Coturnix japonica: one gene and its partner. The protein of the gene in region 2 interacts with the protein of the main gene of each other region in a biochemical or structural test. Links are inferred from orthologs where the notes say so. Each region holds a gene or a part of one and is shown on either strand. Other genes may lie near its edges.

What was found. The genes of interacting proteins can lie anywhere in the genome.
Region 1: of the proteins of CREB1 (region 2) and RPS6KA5, one has a biochemical effect on the other in vitro, tested with the Homo sapiens proteins (3 studies listed by BioGRID, with this or other methods). The link is inferred for Coturnix japonica from reciprocal best matches to the Homo sapiens genes CREB1 and RPS6KA5.

What each region holds. Positions count from the first base shown.
Region 1 is NC_029520.1:40,022,329-40,032,484, forward strand, and holds part of RPS6KA5 (ribosomal protein S6 kinase alpha-5), read right to left. Parts: intron 9,907-10,156; coding exon 9,773-9,906; intron 6,527-9,772; coding exon 6,433-6,526; intron 5,145-6,432; coding exon 4,974-5,144; intron 2,321-4,973; coding exon 2,129-2,320; intron 1,528-2,128; coding exon 1,368-1,527; intron 474-1,367; coding exon 310-473; intron 1-309. UniProt on the Homo sapiens protein: Serine/threonine-protein kinase that is required for the mitogen or stress-induced phosphorylation of the transcription factors CREB1 and ATF1 and for the regulation of the transcription factors RELA, STAT3 and ETV1/ER81, and that contributes to gene activation by histone phosphorylation and functions in the regulation of inflammatory genes.
Region 2 is NC_029522.1:10,659,192-10,669,362, forward strand, and holds the start of CREB1 (cyclic AMP-responsive element-binding protein 1), read right to left. Parts: upstream 5,257-10,171; 5' UTR 5,038-5,256; intron 1,136-5,037; exon of another isoform or gene 1-1,135.

The sequences.
Region 1 (10,156 bases), on a different chromosome or scaffold from region 2:
GAAGCACATAGTGCAAGATGATAATATTAACACAAACAGAATAGTTTTACAGATATTTTATTAGCAGTTGCCTCTCAACCCAAAAAACCTCATTTATACAAAAAAGTGAAAATTCATTTTTGTCTCATCATTTTTATTTTCACTGTACTTACTCATAAACGTTTGGTGCAGATGGAAAAAAAAAGCAATTATAAGGAATCACTGAATTACAAGGACAAACACATTTTTATTTAAGAAGAAAACCTACAGAAATCTAGATTAGCAAATTACATGATTTACTACATAACAAAAGATTATTTTAGAACTTACATGAAAAGTGGCTTTGACATACGTATGAACTGCAGCACCTGAAGAGCCCAAGTTATCAGGAGTCATTAGAGGGTTAGATGACAGCTGGCTGCCATCCTGAAGCCATTCGTTGTATCTCAGACTGGACATCTTAATTCTTTTGTTTGGATCCACTGTCAGAAGCCCTAATAGAAATATATTACATTCTCTTCACTTGTGAACTATTTGCCCTCTTTTAAGAGACAACGCATTGCTTTGATAACTAAGTCATGACAATATTTATCCCACATAGGCCAATGTTTATTCTAAATAAAGCTCACACAATGTTATGCCATCATTCACTGTAGCAGAACCATTAAAACCAAGAAATTGTTACATGTTTGATAACTCATCTCTTTTCACATGAATTCTAAAATAACAGGATTCAGTCACTTAAAACCTGTCTAGAATGAAATCCAAGAAAGCAATCCCCAGATTCTCAGCACAGTCCACTAAAATCTGAATCTGGATATGCCTACACTTTTGGCATGAAGACTCCTCCTAAGCCGGATTCTACACAGATTCACAACTTCATATTAGAATGCCTTAATTCGATGCCTAAAATGGTTAAAGGAAACACAAAGCATAGCAAATGCAAACAGAACAGCTCAGAAATACAGCAGTCTTGGCACACTTGTACAAAGACACAGTTGAAGGGAAAAGACAGTAATGCATTTATTTTCTGATAAAGCTCTACTTTTAAAATATGTATCTCACCAACAAACCTGGCATTTTCACATAACCAAAATACAACTATTTTTATTCTTTTAAAATTATTTTCAACTTTTCAAAACCTCTTCAGTTATTTCCTACCCCAGGAAATGAAAACATTAACCTTCTATTAACATCTTACTACATTAGAAAGCTATGCCCAGCATATGTAGAATTCTGAACCTCATTTTGATATGTCCGACTGTGAGCAAAACTCGTAGCTCAAGTTGTGCATTCTACTCTGTCAGGTTAGACAGCATTCAGGTAGCAGATAGTGCTATAAATGATACCTTTGGAAATAGAAAAACAAAGTATTCATGGTTACTTACCTTGAATTAACTCTTTGGCCTCTTCAGAAACATTTTTCCAAGCTTCCCCTTCAAAGGAAAATTCTCCCTTTTTTATTTTTTTCATAATTTCCAAAGCACTAGTACATGTTAAACTTTTGTCTTGAGACTGAAATGGTACCTGTCCTGATAACATCGTATACTGTCACAAGAACAAAATAATATTAACAAACAACATATTTATTGAAAACTATACATAGGCAGTTACTGCTGTTTCTACAGCATCACCAGCAGTATAAAATAGAACACTGACTAGCACATTTTCAAAGCTATAGAAAGCGCTAAACACACAAGACTATCAATTGAGCCCTTATAAGAAAAAGTATTTGTAAGTTACAGAAACCTCAGTCAAAACATGATGGTATTTGTACCAAGCTTACTTCTCTTGAAAACAGTTTTCTGTATTTTGCAGTACAGGCTGGTTCCTACTCTGAACCAAAACTCTCAGAAGACTATATGGATGCCTGTACAATCTAACAAGAATGTTTCTTTTTAAGAACCAGACTGTATTGAGTGTTTTTTTCAACTCCCAAAAATACTGAATTAAATTTACTACTTAGGAAAAAAAAAAAAAATAATCTCCACTCCCAGAAAATAACTGTTTTTGGAATCTATTATTTGAGCAGCATTACTTGAATGTACCATCTACCCAATACAAATCCAAAACTGTGCTGAATTCTTTGCATTTTACTAAACAGTAAATACGTATAATAAAATTATAAATTAAAAACCCATTCACTTACCAGAATGACTCCCAAACTCCAGAGATCGCAGGATTCATCATAACCATTGTGATTAAAGAGCTCTGGGGCAGCATAATGCAGAGTAAAACATGGAGTCTTCAGAGGCTGATTGTCAGGTGGTTTTAAACGAGCAAAGCCAAAATCAATTATTTTTATTTCTGAATTATCAGTTTCATCTGTAAACAACAAATTCTGAAAAGCAAACAATATAATTATTAGCATTAATTAGAAAATTGTTCAGAACAGCCTACTAGGTATTCTTCTACATTTATTACTACAGAACAGAACATCAAACAAAAGTAATAAAACTTGATTTCAGCTGTTCCCGAGAATTTCAGCTTTACATATGGAATACAGCATTTCAGCTTTGAAGAAAGACAAGCTGTCATCAGTTCAGGAGAAGATTTAAGATAATCTATTCTTTTCTCTGTGTGCACTTCTCAAGGGATATACAAGAGTGAGGCTTATGAAAAGTAGCTGAGGCAGAGATTAATTATTACTGATTTCTACTTCTCCTTGAACTTTTGAGAGAGCAGAGGAGAGCAAAGCTCTGCTGTTACCTTCACTGTTTGATCTCTTCAATGCTAGGAAAGCCTACAGCCATAAGTATTTTTCTAATTCAAAAGATCAATGATTGAACATGAAATAATTATTTTCAAACTCATTAATAAGAGGAGAGAAAAAAAAATCAATTCCTAGACTGCAAGAAAATCAACAAGGAGAACCTGAGAGCATTCATCATGGATAAAAGATGATATATGCTACATGCACTGTGGAAATTTCAATTTTAACAATATTGGTTTATAAAGATCTCTCTTGAGCTGAAAGTGAAATTGCTTATGTACAGAAAGAAAGATACAGTCCTAAGTTGGGTTGAGATTCCTTTATTGACTAGGTAAATAAACTGTACTTCACCAAAACCCCAAAGCTGCAGTCAACAGCACTTGCAGCTCACTGTAAGGAGACTGCTTTAGGCAGGTGGTTGCACTGAATGAACTCTAGAGCTCCCTTCCAATTCCTATAATTTTGTGGTTATGTCTTGGTATATTTTTTCCTAATATCCTTAGAGCCCAGTTCACAGATTATTGATTACTTCATGGGAAAAAAAAAATCCCTAAATCCTCTACTGATAGGTTTCAAGTGGTCACATATGCTCCATTAATTCTTCTGTAATTTCTGATTATTATTATTTTTTTTAATTCAGTACATACCCTCTATTGTGCAAAGCAATATATGTGGTCTAATTACTGCTGCTTAAACAGAAGAACCTTCCAGTCCACACTAGTAAAAAGAAGCCCCATCTTTATTGACACATAACCAGTTCCATTTTTTAAAAGCAGATTTACTAGTAACAGTTCAGATGCCAAAGCTGAACATCAAAACAAATCTGACTGGAGTTGTTAGAGCATCAGAGTTTTCTATATATCTTTTTATAGAAAGGTGCACTAACCACATCTATATTGGGAAAACTGCATATCCCATACTAAGTTCATGCCTGAATCTAAAATAGTAACTCTCAAAACAAAAAGCAGGAAGGAGAGGAAGGAGACAGGTTGGTTAAGTTCAACTCTGTAAAGGAAATGCATTCTATAAATTGTTTGCTAACCCTTCATTACTTGCACTTTCATGGCTTCTCTTCTTGAATATGATATGGAACCAAAGACTGCTTTAACTTACAACACGGCTGAAAGAAGCCCAGCTTTACAGAGTCAGGCCTTTAGATTCAAGTTGGCAATAAGAATAAAACTGGGAGAAAAGGAAGTGAAAATGGATTTCTATTTTTTGTTACTTCAACAAGGACTTGTTTCAAAAGCTGTTTGATTTCCTTGATGGTACAAGCAGAAACTTTTTCAAAAGTCATATTCCTAACTGATATATTAGAATTTCACAATAGCTCTTCTTTATTTCACTGCTTTTTCAGTACAGAGATGCTTTCAAACATAGGTTTAGCACTTAAATACCAACATCTAGAAGTTTACACTTAGAATTCTAACTACTATAAAAGGGATGCATCTGTAGAGTATTGGAATGCATGTTACAAAAAGGTGAAATGACAGCAGGAACCACAGATCATTTTTAAATCCGGATACAAATGTCGTAGCTATTTAATGATATATGCTGACTGTAATCACCAATACAATATAATGTCCTTGCTGGACAAACTAACATGAAACTACACCATCCCTAGGAGAAATTAAAAGCAAACAAAACAAAACAAAAACCACTAGAAGGAACAAACATTGTCTCTGGGAAACAGAACAAAACCAGTGGTCATCTGCATTATAGTAAACAAAACTGTCTTGAAGGCAAGATGCTGCAGCACAATACTGTTAATACTCAGAGCAATAATTCCTTAAAAATACATATGAAATAATATGATTTTTTCCTCTTCAGAAACTACTTAAGTCACTGAACACAAATCACGCATCTCCATTAGTCAGCTGTGCTAGACTGTATTTCACTTTGTGCTTAACTGGAGAATACGATGGTATCAGGGTGTAGCAGTTGCTTTCAAAAGAAGCCCCAGCAAGTGAATTAAGGTAACTAAATGAACATGAAAATGCACAAAGTAAGCAAGCAGCCCAGCTCTACTTATGAAGTGCTTCATACAGCAAGTATACTTACCCTTAGTATAAACTGTTCCCCAAATAGGTAAAGAATGTTTTCAAACATGTTATAGTGTACTTTTTCTTTCTAACAACACTCAAAATCTTTCCCAACAGTTACTTTTACCTAATAACAGAGAAATGCCTGTGGAAGGGATACCATTTTATAAAAATTAAGAAACAACTGCAGAAAAATTTAAGAGCTTAATACTGAAACATGTATAAGGAAGTCACTATACCTCAGGTTTCAGATCTCTATGGACTACTCCTACATCATGCATGTGGCTCACTGCTGAAACAAGTCTGCGCATAATATGACTGGCTTCTGTCTCACTGAAATGCTGCTTCTTCTGAATACGTTCAAGCAATTCTCCTCCTTTCAGTAATTCCATTACCAGAAAAGTGTGAAGCTAAAAACCATAGAGAAAAAGATGGGATATTAGAAATATACACATTAGCACACAATGACTGCAATTCAAATGTCTTTCAATTGAACAAATGGTATGCTTCTCAGAAAGCTTTACTGGGACCAGAAAGTGAAATCAGCATTCTCAAAAGTCAATTGGTGTTGGCCTGTGATGGCTACGAGCACTTCCTTCCCCTGAAATACAGTACCAATGTAACATTTGAAAGCCAAGAAAAGTGTGTTCAAGGGAACAGGTCAAAAAATAAAAATAAAAATCAATTTCACAGAAATATACAGGAAAGGAAATTGCACATTATTTGCATATTAAGGAGCAGAAGGATGGCTGTGTGTACAGAAAGCAGCAAGACTCCCTCAGAAGCACAATGTGTCTATTAGTTCTATTGCTAGTAGTACTTCTCAGATATCCTTCCTTGCAGTTTTTCTTTATGCCTTGAGAACAGCCAAAAGTTAGAAAGAATAAGGGTATTTTCACTAGCAAACTTTCTGTGGCTCACTAAACATAACTAAGTAACACTCTAAGGCTGGATTACTAATAAAGAATTTGATCAAAGTGACAGATTAAGTTAAAAACTGGAGTTTCTTTAGACAATTTGCAGAAATGTCAAGACCAGAAAATTTCTGGTCTTCAGAATATTGTGTTCCCAAGTAGGAAAGAATAGATAGGAATCAGAGTCCAGCACCACACAGGACCACCCAAAATTCAGACCACATGTCACAGAGCACTGTCCAGATACTTCTTGAATTCTGGCAAGCTCAGTGCTATGACCACTTCCCTGGGGAGCCTGTTCCAGTGCCTGACCATGCTCTTAGTGAAGAACCTTTTCCTAAGATCCAATCCGAATCACAGAATCATATCATAGAACAGCTTGGGATAGAAGGGACCTCAAGGACCATCAAATTCAACCTCTCTGGAAAAGACAAGGCCACCAGACACTAGATTAAGTACCCCCATCTAACCTGGCCTTAAACACCCCCAGGGACTGGGCATCCACAACCTCCCTGGTCAACCTGTGCCTAACCACTCACGAAGAAAAGAGCTTCCCTCTGACATCTAAATTTCCCTTCCTTACTTTTAAAACCATTCCCCACTGTCCTATCACTATCTGTGTAAAAAGTTGATTTCCCTCATGTTTATAAACTTCTGTTTTAAAATTTGACAAAAGCCCTAGGAAATAAGTTGTCTATGCAATAATAGTAAGCTTAACTTCTAGACACATTTGGAAAACACAAAGTAATGTGTTTGGCAAATGCTGATTATAGCTTCAAAATACCTGGTCATGATAAACTTCATGCAACTTCACTACGTTGGGGTGTCCTTCGCAGAGTTTCAGAGCTGTTATTTCTCTCTGGGTGTTTGCTTCCATCCTGAAAAAAATTAAGAAAACATTTTCCACCAATTTTACCAAGCAAGTTGCACATTCAAAGTGTAACACCTATTTTTTTTTTTTTTAATTGTTGGCTATTCAGGTGTTTGCTTTTTTTTTGTTTTTTTGTTTTTTAACATTACAACCCCTTGAATAGAATTAAAACCACATTCAAAAGAAGCTGAGCAAAATTATCCATGTAACCCTGCAAGTTAGGGCATTTAGGAAATGCCACACCCAAATCAAATGACTTTTTTGATGCAACTGCAAATTACTACAGGAAAAGCAGAAAACGTTTTACAAAACAGTTTCTATCTAAAACAAACCTTTCCCTTAGACCAGGCCAATTTGATTTCCCCTCTGATCCTACAAATATCTTTAAGCCCAGCTTTATCCTGAAGACTCAAATTAGTGCCCCAACTCTTTCCATTCATATAGAAGATGAATACTGCCACTCCTGCGTAGAAATAATAAGCTCATACTAGAAAAAAAATAAAACCTGTAACATGGTCTGTATAGAAGCTACGCAATACAAAGGAAATCCTAAACAGATGACTATAAAAATATGAAATAGAAGAAATAAGAGTCTTGCTCCAAAGTAAAAAATGATCTCACAATTTCCTTTGAAGTTCTTAAGTATCCATAGTCAAAAAATTTCAGCATGTTGAACACTACAACAACCCACATGAATAGTGACTGCGGAGAACACCACTTTGTTTTCCTTTAAATAGACACAATGACAATTTTAGGGCAAAAAAAGACATGAATATTTTTGTCAAAACTCTCTCCTTCTGAGTAAGAAAGGTTGGTCCTGTACTAACTTAGGGAATGGCCGAATAGATAACACAGGTAGCATCTCTCTCACCACACATTCTGCATTTCTGGTTGCATAAATGGTTCTGTGTTGTTGTTGTTATTTAATTAGGGTCAGAACCACAATGAGAATTTTGTACAGAAAAATTCTGTCTTTCTGCAGGCTGCAGAAAATCAAGAAGTAAACTAAGCTGTTTCACTTGTATCTCTGTTGATTTTCTTGTTTAAACTGGAAGTGATTTCAGGTCCTTGGCAAATTCAAAAACCATCTTAGATAATCGTTCCCTCCTAGGAACTACTAGGAGAAGGTGGATCTAGGAAACAGGCTAAAAGGGCTCAATGTAAAGTAAACAAATCTTTGAAATATGTGCCTGGACTTTTCTGAGTGTTTCCTTTCTATAAATGGTTTGCATCTCAGTTTTGTAGACAGACAGCATTATGAAAAAGAAATGGAAGCTCTGAAACAGTAACTCAGGGAAGCTTACAGGACCCTGCTGTTTCACTGGGGTTCAAGACAAACAGAAAAAAACATTAAAATGTTGGATAGGTCCAGCTGTACTAACAAAGCATGACCACTGAGGAATTATTCATTTTAGCCTTCATCCCAAGTACCTTGAATAGATTTGCCTAGGTGTAGGATTCAGGTTGTGTGTATCTTTGATGGACAGGAGTATAAGACTGTCTGACTTTAAGGCAAAGAAGTTATTAGAAACCTACTACACTTCTATCAGCAAGAGCTACTGTGTTTTTGAGAGCAATGTTATTTACAGTTTAACAGTTTCTTTTTCAAGGCTGGTTTGTGTCTTGTCATTTGGAGAACAGATTCACTGCTACCTCTAGAAACTACATAAACATGCTCTGCATCTGCTCACAGACTGCAACCCTGAAAAATGTTTGTACACAGACCACTCCTTACCTTCATTTAGCCTGGTCCACCAAGATGAAGGAAAAAGAGCAAAAGAACCTGTGAGTAACATCATTTAGGGATGTCATTCCTAAAAGTCTAGGCCTATGTGAAAAGTCAGTACTGATTCGATCATTGTTATCCAAAATCAATACTTCCATTATTTTAGGTGGATTTTTCCTTAAGATTAAGGAAGTGCTTCCTTACGATTAAGGAAATACTTTCCTTCAGAAGTACTGATCAGCAGCTCTGCATGCACCACAGAAAAAAAATTCTAAGTGCAGATTTATGATAGAAATTCAGATTAAAATATCCAATCTAGGTGTCTACTGCACGTATGAAGTCCCAACGTATCAAGAGAAATTCTGGTTAATGAAGCTTTCAGGGTGAACTATCCCACTCCAAAATATGCACTTCAAACAGGATTCAGTTGCCAAAGCATAGGAGAGCCTGGAAGATATCTACATAAAGATAGCAGTCACAAGACTGACTCAAACTGGAGGACTCACAGGACACCATTAGATTCTAAAATGGCACTGCATCAATACCTGTGTTTAGGTAAATTAATTCCACAATTGCCACCTGGTCATTTGAATCTCTCTGTATAGACCCCATTAACAGTTTTGATGATGTCACCACTAATCATAGCAGACCTCAAAACTGGCCCTCTTACACTTATCCCATGCAAAAAGAATGTGATCAAATGCTTAAGTCTAGTGGACATTTAATTCTATTCTCTGGAAAAGCACAGGTACAGTCAAATGCAAAGGACAAATAGACCACAATGAACTATCAATCTGTGAGTGGAATATCTGCACATTTCCCTTGTCTTTTCTGCCAGCACTGTACACCATGCTGGAACATATTTAACAATGAATACTGAGCAAAATGAAGCTAAAAGTATAGTCAGCCCCCGAAGAACCCCTTACTTCCCTCTGGGCAGAAAATGCCAGAGGCATCTACTCTGGAAGAAGCTCAGATGGAATCCATGAGCAAAGTCAATCAGCTGTCTCCACTGAAATGCTGCCTTCAGAGCATCCAGGAAACAGATGTAAAGCAAAACTCTACATTCTAATTATATTTTACACAGATTCATATTCAAATTAATTAGACCTACATATACTGCACATACTTTACAAAAACAACATCCTAGGCAAATCAGTTGAGTTGTCTAAGAAAGGGAGCTACCATAAACCTACACTTAGTTCTCTTAGTTCTAAAGACTGGAGGACCTTATATCCTTATCTGGTTTGGAGCAAAATTAGGGGTAGAACATAAGTACGAACCAGGAAAAAGCCCTTCTTCTTGCGTCCTCCCCAACAACAACAATATTTTCTTTCCAAAAACTCTCAGAATTTTTTAAAGGTCATAAAGTTACTACACATTTCTGTAGATACTGCAGAGGTATGTCAAAGAGAAAATTATTTTCAAGTTAATTTTCCACCTTCAAAAACGTAGCGAGCATTATTCTAATCCATGGGTGACAGTAAGCAAAGAAAATATTTTTATTGTCTTATAGAATATTTATACCTTTTGCTAATTATTTTTACTGCATACTCCTGGCTAGTTTTCTTGTGTAAGCACTTTCGACAAATGGAAAAACTTCCTTCTCCCAATGGTTTCTCTTTCAGATCCAGTTCATAATGTTGAAAAAATGGAGAATCCTGTTAGGAAACTGTCTGTATTTAGTTCTGCAGAATACTTTTAGTATACAGTCAAAGACAAAGAGTAAAGTTTTGTGAGAATTGTTACAATTTTAAATGTAGATGAAAAGCTCTCTCTTTTTGATAAAATATAAATCTTAATTTCTATTTTATAAAATGCATAAACTTTATTTTAACAATCAAAGAGTAAATCCTACGTTATTAAAAAAAAACAGTCTTTAAATAAAGCATCACTACTACAGCAACAGCT
Region 2 (10,171 bases):
TGAAGGGATACAGTTGTCCTCCTCTTTCCTACAGTCTCACAGTAAGTTTTCACCAGTGCTGATACAGTCACCAACCGACTCAGCTCAGTCACGCAGAAGAAAACTGACCTGACAACGGTTTTCTCCCACGTTGGTGATTTGAACAGGCTCGTTAAATTGTACAACCAACAGTACAGCAGCCTGCACCAGGGATGGGCAAACACCACGCAACCAGGAGCAGAAAAAAGGGAAGGAGTAAGATGTCTGTCTGTTGAGAGCCACATACAGTAGTGTCAGCTCAGACAAAATGAGGGCAGCAGGCTCCTGCTGGTACCACACTGCAGTGTTTCTGCACACTGCCCTTTTCCACGCCTTCCCTCCCTCAGTATTGCCCAGAATGCTCCTATCAGTACAGAAGAGAATAATTTGGATGAGTCTCATAAGGAGCAGAAGCCCTACTTTTGTCTAATGCTCTCCACAACATATGAAGGCTTTAATTTACAAACCCTGCGTATATTCCAAGTCTCTTGGAGGAGTGGACAGGCACCAGCAGAGTTTGAGACGGGGCCAACTGTACAGAGCCAGAGAAAGAGCCATCAGGGAAAAGCAAGAAAATATTGCTTCCCATCTATCATTCTAAGGGGTATAAAAGATCAGTTGGATGGGAAGAGATTCCACATTCATCTCTTGGAAGGGTACAAGGGAAAGACTGATTTTTGAATAGTGGTAAAGAATGAGAAGGAGTGGGGCAGTATCTACCAGAAAAATACATGCAATACTCGAGCCAAAACACAACAGCAGGTTGTGCTGTATCTGGAGAGATGGTTAAAAAGATTGCAGCAAGGCACTGCAGAGAACAGGGACGGGAGGTTAGGAGTTAGAGCAGAGAAACAACAAAGAACAGCGCAGAGGAAGTGAACACAATAGTTGCTAAACATGTGGAAGGTGCTTAAGCAAAGTAAATAAGTGGTGTAACAAACCGTACGTGTACACGGTATTAAAGTCTGGGAGCAGCTGCAGCCCATGTTCATTCACTCCTACTATCTTACACATATAAAAACTTAAACTTAGTGAAGCGATCAAGTGCTGCAGCAAAAAGAACGAGATCCATGTGATCCAACTTGGCTATAAATACAGCAATAATCTGAGAATTTTGTGCAGGCTGCACTTTCCCATCTGGCAGAACTGCTGCTCAAGCTGCCCCTCCTGCTTCTCCCAGTCCCATCCATTCCCTGATGTGCTGGCACAGCCACCATGCAGCCCTGCAGCAACTAGGGCAGGGTGCTGGCATGGGGAAATACAACCCAGCCTGACAGAAGAGGAAAACACGACCCAGACTTACAGTTCTTCCAAGTGTGGGAGAAAAAGGTTTTACTGACAGCTTCCCTGACCAACCAGGCTGCCACCGGGACAGCACTCACAGGACCAAAGGCTTTTGTACACATCACTTCAAGTCTCTTCTCCAAAAAGTGTGAAAACCTCAAGGGCAGACATTTGAGTTTCATGCTCCTGCACGAAGGCAGCTTTAAAATAGCACGCTGTAAGGTCTTCACAGCTTTACCTAGAGTAGCTAGTGCTGCCTGGAGTGAGTGACGGGAACAGAAGAGCAACTGGAAGGACTCTCGCATCTCTGGAACTGTTGTTACATTGTAACAAAACAACATTGTAACAAAACATTGCAACAAAAAAACCCAAATCTCAAAACATTCTCATGTAAGCTTATAATCTTAGGGCACGTCTCTTCAGGGGTGAAAGAAGTCCTTGAGCTATGCATTTTGCTTAGAATCACTGAGGCTAACAGGCGTCTGTACTGCTTTAAAACTACATGTATGTACGTTTATAAAGCACACAGAGTAACAGAGCTCCTCAAAATGCTTTACTCAAAATGTGGATTCTCTGGACTCTGTGGTGCCAGAAAGCGATGGCAGCAGCATGACATGAGCAAATCCCTGTTTGCAAATGCTGCTCTACCTGGCAAAGCCCAGAGAGCAAGCAGAGCCAGGGGCATCTCATCTGCACAGCTCACACGGCAGTTCTAGAAGCACGCAAAACCAGAAAGTGTTGTGCTTCTTCTCACCTTTCTAACCACGGTGCTACCAAACAACAGACAAGTTTTGAAGAATAAAATAGGTGTCAGTGCCTCAGTGCTGGGAGAAGTGCAAAGAAAATCACTAACCACGAGGTGGTCAGGTCTGCATCATCACCGTGAAGTGTGACAGCACAGACTGCAGATGAGGCCACACCATTCTTGAATTAGAGAAAAACCAGGGCACTAACATGAACCTCCATCTGCAAGCAGGCAAGGAAGCAGAGAGCTCCAGCCCAACTCAGCAGGGCTGTTTCTCTTGCTGAGGGTTACTGTCTGTGTGGGAAACTGGTCATCACAGCCTGAACCTCTGATTAACCAGCTGAGGCAAGTGTCAGGTCAGCTGTGGGAACACAGGTGAAGGTAATTCAGTTGTGCTCCCCGAAGGGGTGGAGATTGATTCCACCTCTCCTAGACCTCATTTAAGGGCTGACCACCACTAAGGCAGCATCTCTTGGAGATTGCTCCCCTGTGGAGATTGGATAACCAGCCTATTTTCCAGCCAGACTGAAGGCATCTGTATTGGTGAGTTTTTCCTATAGATAACCTTTTGGATATCTGTCACTATCCCTCTTGTATTATTACCATCTTTGTATTATTTCTACCTTACAACCACCATCCTTATATTATTCTCACACTGTCTTTTTAATGAAACTGATGATGAGCAGAAAGCTGGCAAGGCCTTCTCACTGCAGCAAAGCCTTTAGAAGCATGGCATGAGTAACCCATCTCCACTTGCTAAGAGATCCAAAAATAGAGGCGAGGTGTGAATATCCTATTTGTTGCACTAGGGTGTCAATAGAAATTCCCCATCAGGGCCTCATCTACTATCAAAGCCTGCACATGGGTAAGAAGTGCTCACCTCTGAGCACAGCCCGACTGCTACTTTCCAGAATATTGTATATTGGGTCTCAGGACCAGCAGTAGCTGCACCAGCTCACGCTCCCATAGAAGGGGTAGACTGATGACTTGACAACCTAAATTAGATGCTTCTAAATTTTCTCTATCAACAGATCATTCTTCCCTGTCAGATCATCCCTTGCACCCAGGGCAGCAGGCACCTCATCACCAAAGCCATGGGGGAGAATCAGATGCAGACAGCTCATGGGAGATCCAGATATAACACAGGAGATCCAGATATAAAGGTGGGAGAAATAGTTTTAACATTTATACTCTATCAATGAAATATTAAACATTATTATGTTCTTCTTTCCTGCACTTAAATATCTGACCCTGAGTCACCTGACAGTGATACGTAGCAAACACAACCTCCTGTCTGCTGCTCTTCCCAACCTGACCTGTGAGGATATAGAGCTCGTGTGGGTGCAGTGTATGGGTTAGAAAACGTGGATCTGAGAGTCCTCTGCTGTTATGAAACAGCATGTTTAGGGGACAAAGTGCTGTGTTTCTGAAGCTACAGAAAGTACTACGCAAGGATTTACTGTCACATTGTTGTATTTAAAATGAAGTGCGTATTCCAGCAAACCAAGAATTAATGAAATACACCAGCCACTACAAATCATTTAATCACCACCAATTGCTCCACTGCCCGCCAACACCCACAGATGCGCATTGTTCAGTTATGGCTTTAGGAACCCTCTATTATAGAGTGGGAAGAGATGTGGAACACCCTTGGCGTTTATGTTGACAGTGGTGGAAGTGACAGAACACATTGATTTGCACAGAAGGAAGGACAGGCTGTCCATGTGCTTCTGTGAATCACTAATATCCGTCTTGACCAAAAACCTGTTTTGGTGACTTAAATTTTGCTTTAAAAAACCAAAGCAAACATCTTTGCTGGTGGTGGGGAAGGGACCGAGTACAGGTGCTGAATTTCTAAGGAGTGCTTGGTGCTCACGGTGGATCTGCAGTTGCTTAATGACCCTAGGTCAGTTTCTAGTCCTTTATTTAAGAAACAGGAAAATTGTTTCTAACCCCAGGAAGAGCTGCTTTTCACAACAGTGTTACTCCAGAAGCATTGCAATGCTTAAAAGGGAGAATTAAAAAATAAAAATCTGGAATTAAAAGCCATATGGTCTGCAAAAATAAAATATATGTATCTCCTTGTGTATGACTGGGAGGCGTAATAACCTTCGGTTGAAAAACATTTTTAATAAGATCCGCTTGCCACGTCACTTGGACTTATTGCCGTGCACAGAGATGCGGTTATCCAGGTTTGGAAGCGGGAATCGAGTCCTCTGTCCTAGGGAACGAGGCGGGAACGGCCCGCAGCTGCGGCACCGGCGGCGGTTGAGCCGGCGTGGCGTGGGAAGGCGCCGTCGTTGACATTTGCCATTAAGGTACGGACAGAGGTCGGATCCCGCCGGTCGTGCGGCACCCGGAGCCGCGGGGCGCCGGCACCGGCGGCTCCGAGCGGAGACCGACCGCCTCGGCCGGAATCGGGTTCGCCGCGGGTTAAAAATACCGCCGGAGCGCCCGGCTCCGCTCGGAGGCGTCGGGTGCCGGCGCGGGGCCTCCTGCGGGCGGGCCGGGCTCGGGCCGCGCCGGCGCCCCGCGGGACGCGGCTGTCGGCCGGCGGCTTAAGGGAGCGGGGCCCCGGCCCGGCCGGGGGAGGAAGAGCGGGGCAGCGCCGCCAGCGCCCGGCGGCGGCGGAGGGGCGTCCCGCAGCACGGGCGAGCGGCCGATCCGCGCCCCCCGTCCTCGTCCTCCCGCCGCGGGGCCGGGGCCCTCCCCGCCGCGCCGAGCGCCGCCGCTGGCTGCCGCCGGAGTGGCCCGGCCGAGCGGCCGCCGCCGGGGCCGGCTCCGATCCGCCATTATCCTTTGTTCGCGGCGCGGCGGCGGCGGGGACGGTGCGGGGCTCGGCTCCATCTTTAAGGCGGGCGCCCCTCCCGCGGGCGGTGCGAGGCCGGGCTCCCCGCGTCCCGCCGCCCGCCGGCCGCCCCGGTCCCCGCCGGGCTCCGTTTCCTTCCCTCCCCCCCGCCCCTGTTCGCTGGGCGCCGTCCTCCTCTTACCGGTTGCGGGCTGCTCCGTCACTGCTTTCGTTCGCGCCTGGGATCTCGCCGCAGTTTTATTCTCTCCCCCACGTAACACACCGCGTCAAACTACACCTCCGCCGCGTCACTCACACACACACAGGCGCTCCCAGCCCGGCGACAGGCAGGCAGCGGCCGACTGAGGAGCGCCAGCCAGGGAGCAAGCGCCGAGCGCAACGCGGCCCGCACGGAAACCGCCGAGCGCTCACGGAAACCGCCGAACGCGCGGCGGGCGGCGGGAACGGCCGAGCGCGCCGCCGGCCTCCTCGGAAAGAGCCGAGCGGGCGCGGAAACGAACGAAGCGGCCCGGAGGGGTGGCGGAAAGAGCCGAGCGGCCGCGGGAAGGCGCGAACCGCGCTTCCGCCCCAGGCGGCCCGCGGGGCGGGTGGCGTTGGCCGCCAATAGACCGGGGGCAGAGCCGGGCAGAGCGGGGCAGAGCGGGGCAGGCGCCGGGCAGGGAAGGCGCAAAGCGGAGAGACGGCAGCATCGGCCGGGCGGCGTCTGCACCGGGCTGCACCAGGGACGGGCCGAGTCACACGGCTCCTGCGGGCACGGAACGGGCAGCACGCTGCCACGGGAGGCTCCAACAGGAGCCGGTGCCGCCCCGGGGCATCTCCAGCACCGTCCTGTCGGGCCCACAGGGCGCACCTTGTCCCGCAGCAAGGAGAGCCAACTTCACCTGCTCCTTCTGCACGATAAAAACACAGCGCAGTCTCGTATAAAGCGCTTTTATCTCTCGAAACCTCAAGATGGCACTGCACAACAAGGTTTGGAGCTCTGTGCCTGGTACATCCCCAGCAGACAGCACGGTGCGTGCCGGCTCTGCCCATCAGCAGCACCGGGCTCCTGAGCAGCCTCGTGTCCTCAGGAAAGCCAAATAAATGGGTTTCAGTTGGACCGTGTCGTGTAAATCCATCCCAAATTAAAAGGCGGTGCAGGGAACGATTGCAGGTTACTCTGTTTCTGTTGATTATAGTTATTCTAAATGAAAATGAAATAAGCCAGAATTGACTTATTTTAAAAAGGGAGGTCAGGTTAAACTGACAGCACGTTGCTAATAACCCCATAATACAGCCTGGGCCACATCTCATTTTCCACTCCCGTTGCACTTGTCCCCTTTGTCCTGTCTGCAGGTGAGGAGCTTCAAGGCTGTGAGAACCTATGTGAGAAAACGCCTACGATGAGCGGAACAGACTCAGTGCTCTGAGTGTCTCCTTTCAATTACTGCATTTCTTTATCTCTTTTCCCAATCCTCTTCCCTCCTCGTGTTGATCTTGGTGCTACATCATCTTTCTTTGCTCCCTGGTGGATGTTCTCTACACATGCCAGTTTCCCAGACCTGCCTTTCTCACTGTGGGGCAGCAACCTTGAAGGATCACAGCAGAAAACCTTCAACAATAAATTCCAGCCTTTGAAAAGCAACCAAAAGGCACGGACCAGGCCTCAGACAGTGTCTCCTACAAGAAGCCCCAGCTGCACGCTAAGCCAGAGCAGCAGCAGTGCTGCTGATAGGACTGGGTTATAGCTGGGCCCTGAGCTATATACACAGGCGGGCAGCTCCTTGCACAGCTCTGATCCTGCTGCCCATTTAAGGTCTGGATGATCCTCTGGCAGTCCCACTGGCCATTCCCAACCCTGCACTCACTTGGGGCTTTCAGCAGCACTTCTCAATGTCCACCAGCTCAGCTGCAAAGGGCATCTTGCAGCAGTGGCTGCTCCTTTGCCAGCCAGCATAGACTCCTCATTGCACAGATAGCTCGAGTGCAGTTTATCTCAAACTAAAACAGATGCCTCGGGTAGGTCACATGCCTGGAGTCATTTGAGATTGTGCCAATGTTATGTTTCTGTGGTATTTTCATCTCTTGCCCATGGCTGAGGCTAAGACCATATGTGGACTGGAGCTGGCTTCAGCCCTGACTCACGCCGATTCAGAGGCAAGGCTGGGAGAACATCTCGTGTGCAGCTGCTCTGAAACTTTCTGGCAGCTGTTTTGCACATTCTTCTTTCCCTTCCAGGGTATTTGTTTTTCTCCTCTCAGTCAGCATCCTGACCAAAATCAGGACACTAAGTAAAACTGGAACTTCTTCAGGAGTGGGAGTCTGAGCCACAAAAACCCTTTCCTTCACTAGCATCTCTGCATTCCTTTCACTGTGGTCTCTTGGGGAATTTGGATAAAATGGGATGGTAATGATGTACCAATTACCCACAGATTCCAAATGGGAGAGGTTGACTTGCGGAGCAAACTGGAGAGCTCAGCAGTTTTCTTCATCAGTGAAAGTTTGCTTGATGATGAGTGAAACCCAGCAAGATTAATTACTTTTCTTACAGTTAAGCCTCAGGGGCAAATTCATTAGCTCTGCAGCTGCCAGCCTGATTATCCTGGGCAGTGGTTCCTTGTGCATGGCTTTGCAGGTTGATTGCCCCCGGCCCAGGGTCTGTGGAGGCTGAGGGGTGGCACAGAGATCCAGAAAGGTTGGCACCTGGCTGCGAGGTGTGGCAGACCACAAATGGCAATCTGGAGTAGTCAGAAGTGCTGACGCTGGTGACACACAAGGCAATATTTATTGTGGTAATACAGAGAAATGTACATTTTAAGCGGTCCAGTCAACACACCACTGAGCAGAATGCAACACAAAGATAGTTTCTGAAGCCACCTCAGGGACTGATTTATAGCAAAATCATCTTTCAACATCACATATTCACTGCCAGTTTCCATAGGACCGCTGTGGTCTGGCAGTGCAGGAGCTGAGAGAGGGTGTTTTGTATGTGTATGACTTAACGTACAGCACAAGTATTTCTGGGGAGAAAAGAAGGTAAGCTGTGCTCCAGGGCCTCACAACCGTGTTCACTAAGGGATATTCTCCTAAGGAAATAAAGAGACAGAAGCAGATTGTTTGCAAGTAATGCATGTGGAGGGAGGCAGATGTTACATTGGATGGTTAGCAAAGTGTCCAGGACGTTTCAGTATAAGAAGCATTGCATTGCTCTAGTTTTGAAACAGATACAGAGGGAGGCAGGAATACCTCCATGTCTCCGTGATGGCCGTTGCAGTTCATAGCAGACTGACCCAGCGGTGACTGGTAGGGCAGAAAATGAAAGATGCTTTTCTGAAACCGAATGGCAAGTCCTCCATTTTGGTCTCTGCATCTGAGATGGATGGAGGCTTAGCTACAAACTCCCATGCAGAGCAGTCTTCAATCATTTTATAGGCTCTCAGAACCAGCTAAAACTGCTTACTCATCAGGATGAGAACAAAACCCTACAGGTTTAGTACCTGCCAGGGATAAGAAGATTCACTGGGCTCCCTGAGCACTTTATTACAAAAGTAGGTCTAAATTCATAGGTACCTTAGAACAAAGTAACCAAAAATAGAAATGGTTTTCCAGCATCGCCCCCCTTAAAGTTAATGAACTGCAACTCAGGTCTGCCCTCCCTGCTCTTGGACATTAATCATTGCTAAAAGCAATAAATCTAGGCCAAATACAGGCTTTACAAGCAGGCAGTTTACATGCTCAATTAGCCCAAGGAAACTGGTGACTTGGCTTAACCCCCATTGTTAGAAATACAGAATCCTGCTGCTGCATCAGTCACGTTTTTCCTGTGAACGCAGCAGCCCAGGAAGGGAAATCCCTGTCCCTTGGTGGGAACATGCTACTTCCTTTTCTGCAAGGCTGCATCCTTTGCCCTTATCTCAGTGCCACTCAGTGACACAGAAGAGGTGGGATTTGGGGTGCAGCACTGAAGGTGCAGGCATGCTCTGTGCTGTTTTCCTTGCTTTGGGACCAACAGGGAAATGGTCTGACAGCACCTTGGTTATCGGTGCCATTGCACTGATAGCAACTCCCTTGTGCCAGAACATGGTGACATTTTTCTTATCTATTTGCTCTTCTACCACATACTTTATAATTTGTGGGTATGCCCCAAACCATTCTGGTGCTTTAAGAACTACAAAACCTGATTAATGATATTGGCAGCACTTTACTAAAGAATCAGGCACAGCAAATGTAAAGAGGACAGTTCTGCAGCTGAGATACCACGTGCTGGGATGTGGCTGCAGGGTGAGCAAGGCCAGCCCAGGGCAGGTAGAGGTCTCTCGGTGGGAACTTTTCCTTCCCTGTGGAAAATGGAATTTATCTGTGACACATGGAGGAAAAAATTGATATAGAAGGCCAGGTGGAAGTCAGTGCTGAAAAGAAAAAACACACTAAATCCAGTAACTGCTTTCAGACTGAAAATGGGGCAATGGGGGAGAAATTTTCAGGGAATAATTTTGGGAAATACCCTCTGAGATTTGGCCAGCTGTAGCTCCAAGTGCCTGCATTGTAGCCTGAAGTTGGCTGCCAGGGATAATCACTGTGATGGTAAATACTGTGTTTCTATCAGCACAGCCTGCTGGTTCAGAGTCAGCTCCCATCATACAGAAAACATTCTTTAGAGTGATTTCCATACCTTGAAAAATTTAAAATAAATCTTACACCTCTCTAAATGTCTTTCTGTCATAGGAGAGCCTAGCAAACATTCATCTGATGAATAGTTTTGGTGGTGGCAGGAACCTGGGACTGCATGTGTGTGGTGTTTGATTTCAAGATCAAGATCTCATCATCTCACTTTAGCTAATGTCTGTGTATGCTGAGCTGATCCAGTTTCCAGCATGCCCATCTACTATAAAGTTGAGTTGCTGGAGCTGTGGGAAGAAGGGGGAGGTTTTTGGGAAAACACTGGTAGAAACACTTGGAGGGTAGGAACTGATTGGAGTGTAGGCTGTTTGGAACAAAACAGGTAACAAAGAAGGCAGAAGAGCAGAGGAAAGGTTAATGTTGACCTCCTTAGTTTTCCATTGCAAGTTGTATGGGAAATTGGTAATCACAGCCTGAACCTCTGATTAATCAGCTGAGGCAAGTGTTGGGTCAGCTGTGGGAGCACAGGTGAGAGTAATTTAGCTGTGCTTCCAGGAGCAGTGGAGCTTGACTCCACCTCCTCTAGACCTCATTTAAGGGCTGACCACCACTAAGGCAGCATCTCTTGCAGATTGCTCCTTGGTGGAGATTGCCTTAGTGGTTCTCAGCAGACTGAAGGCTTCCATACAGGTGAGTTTTTCTTGTAAATAACCTTT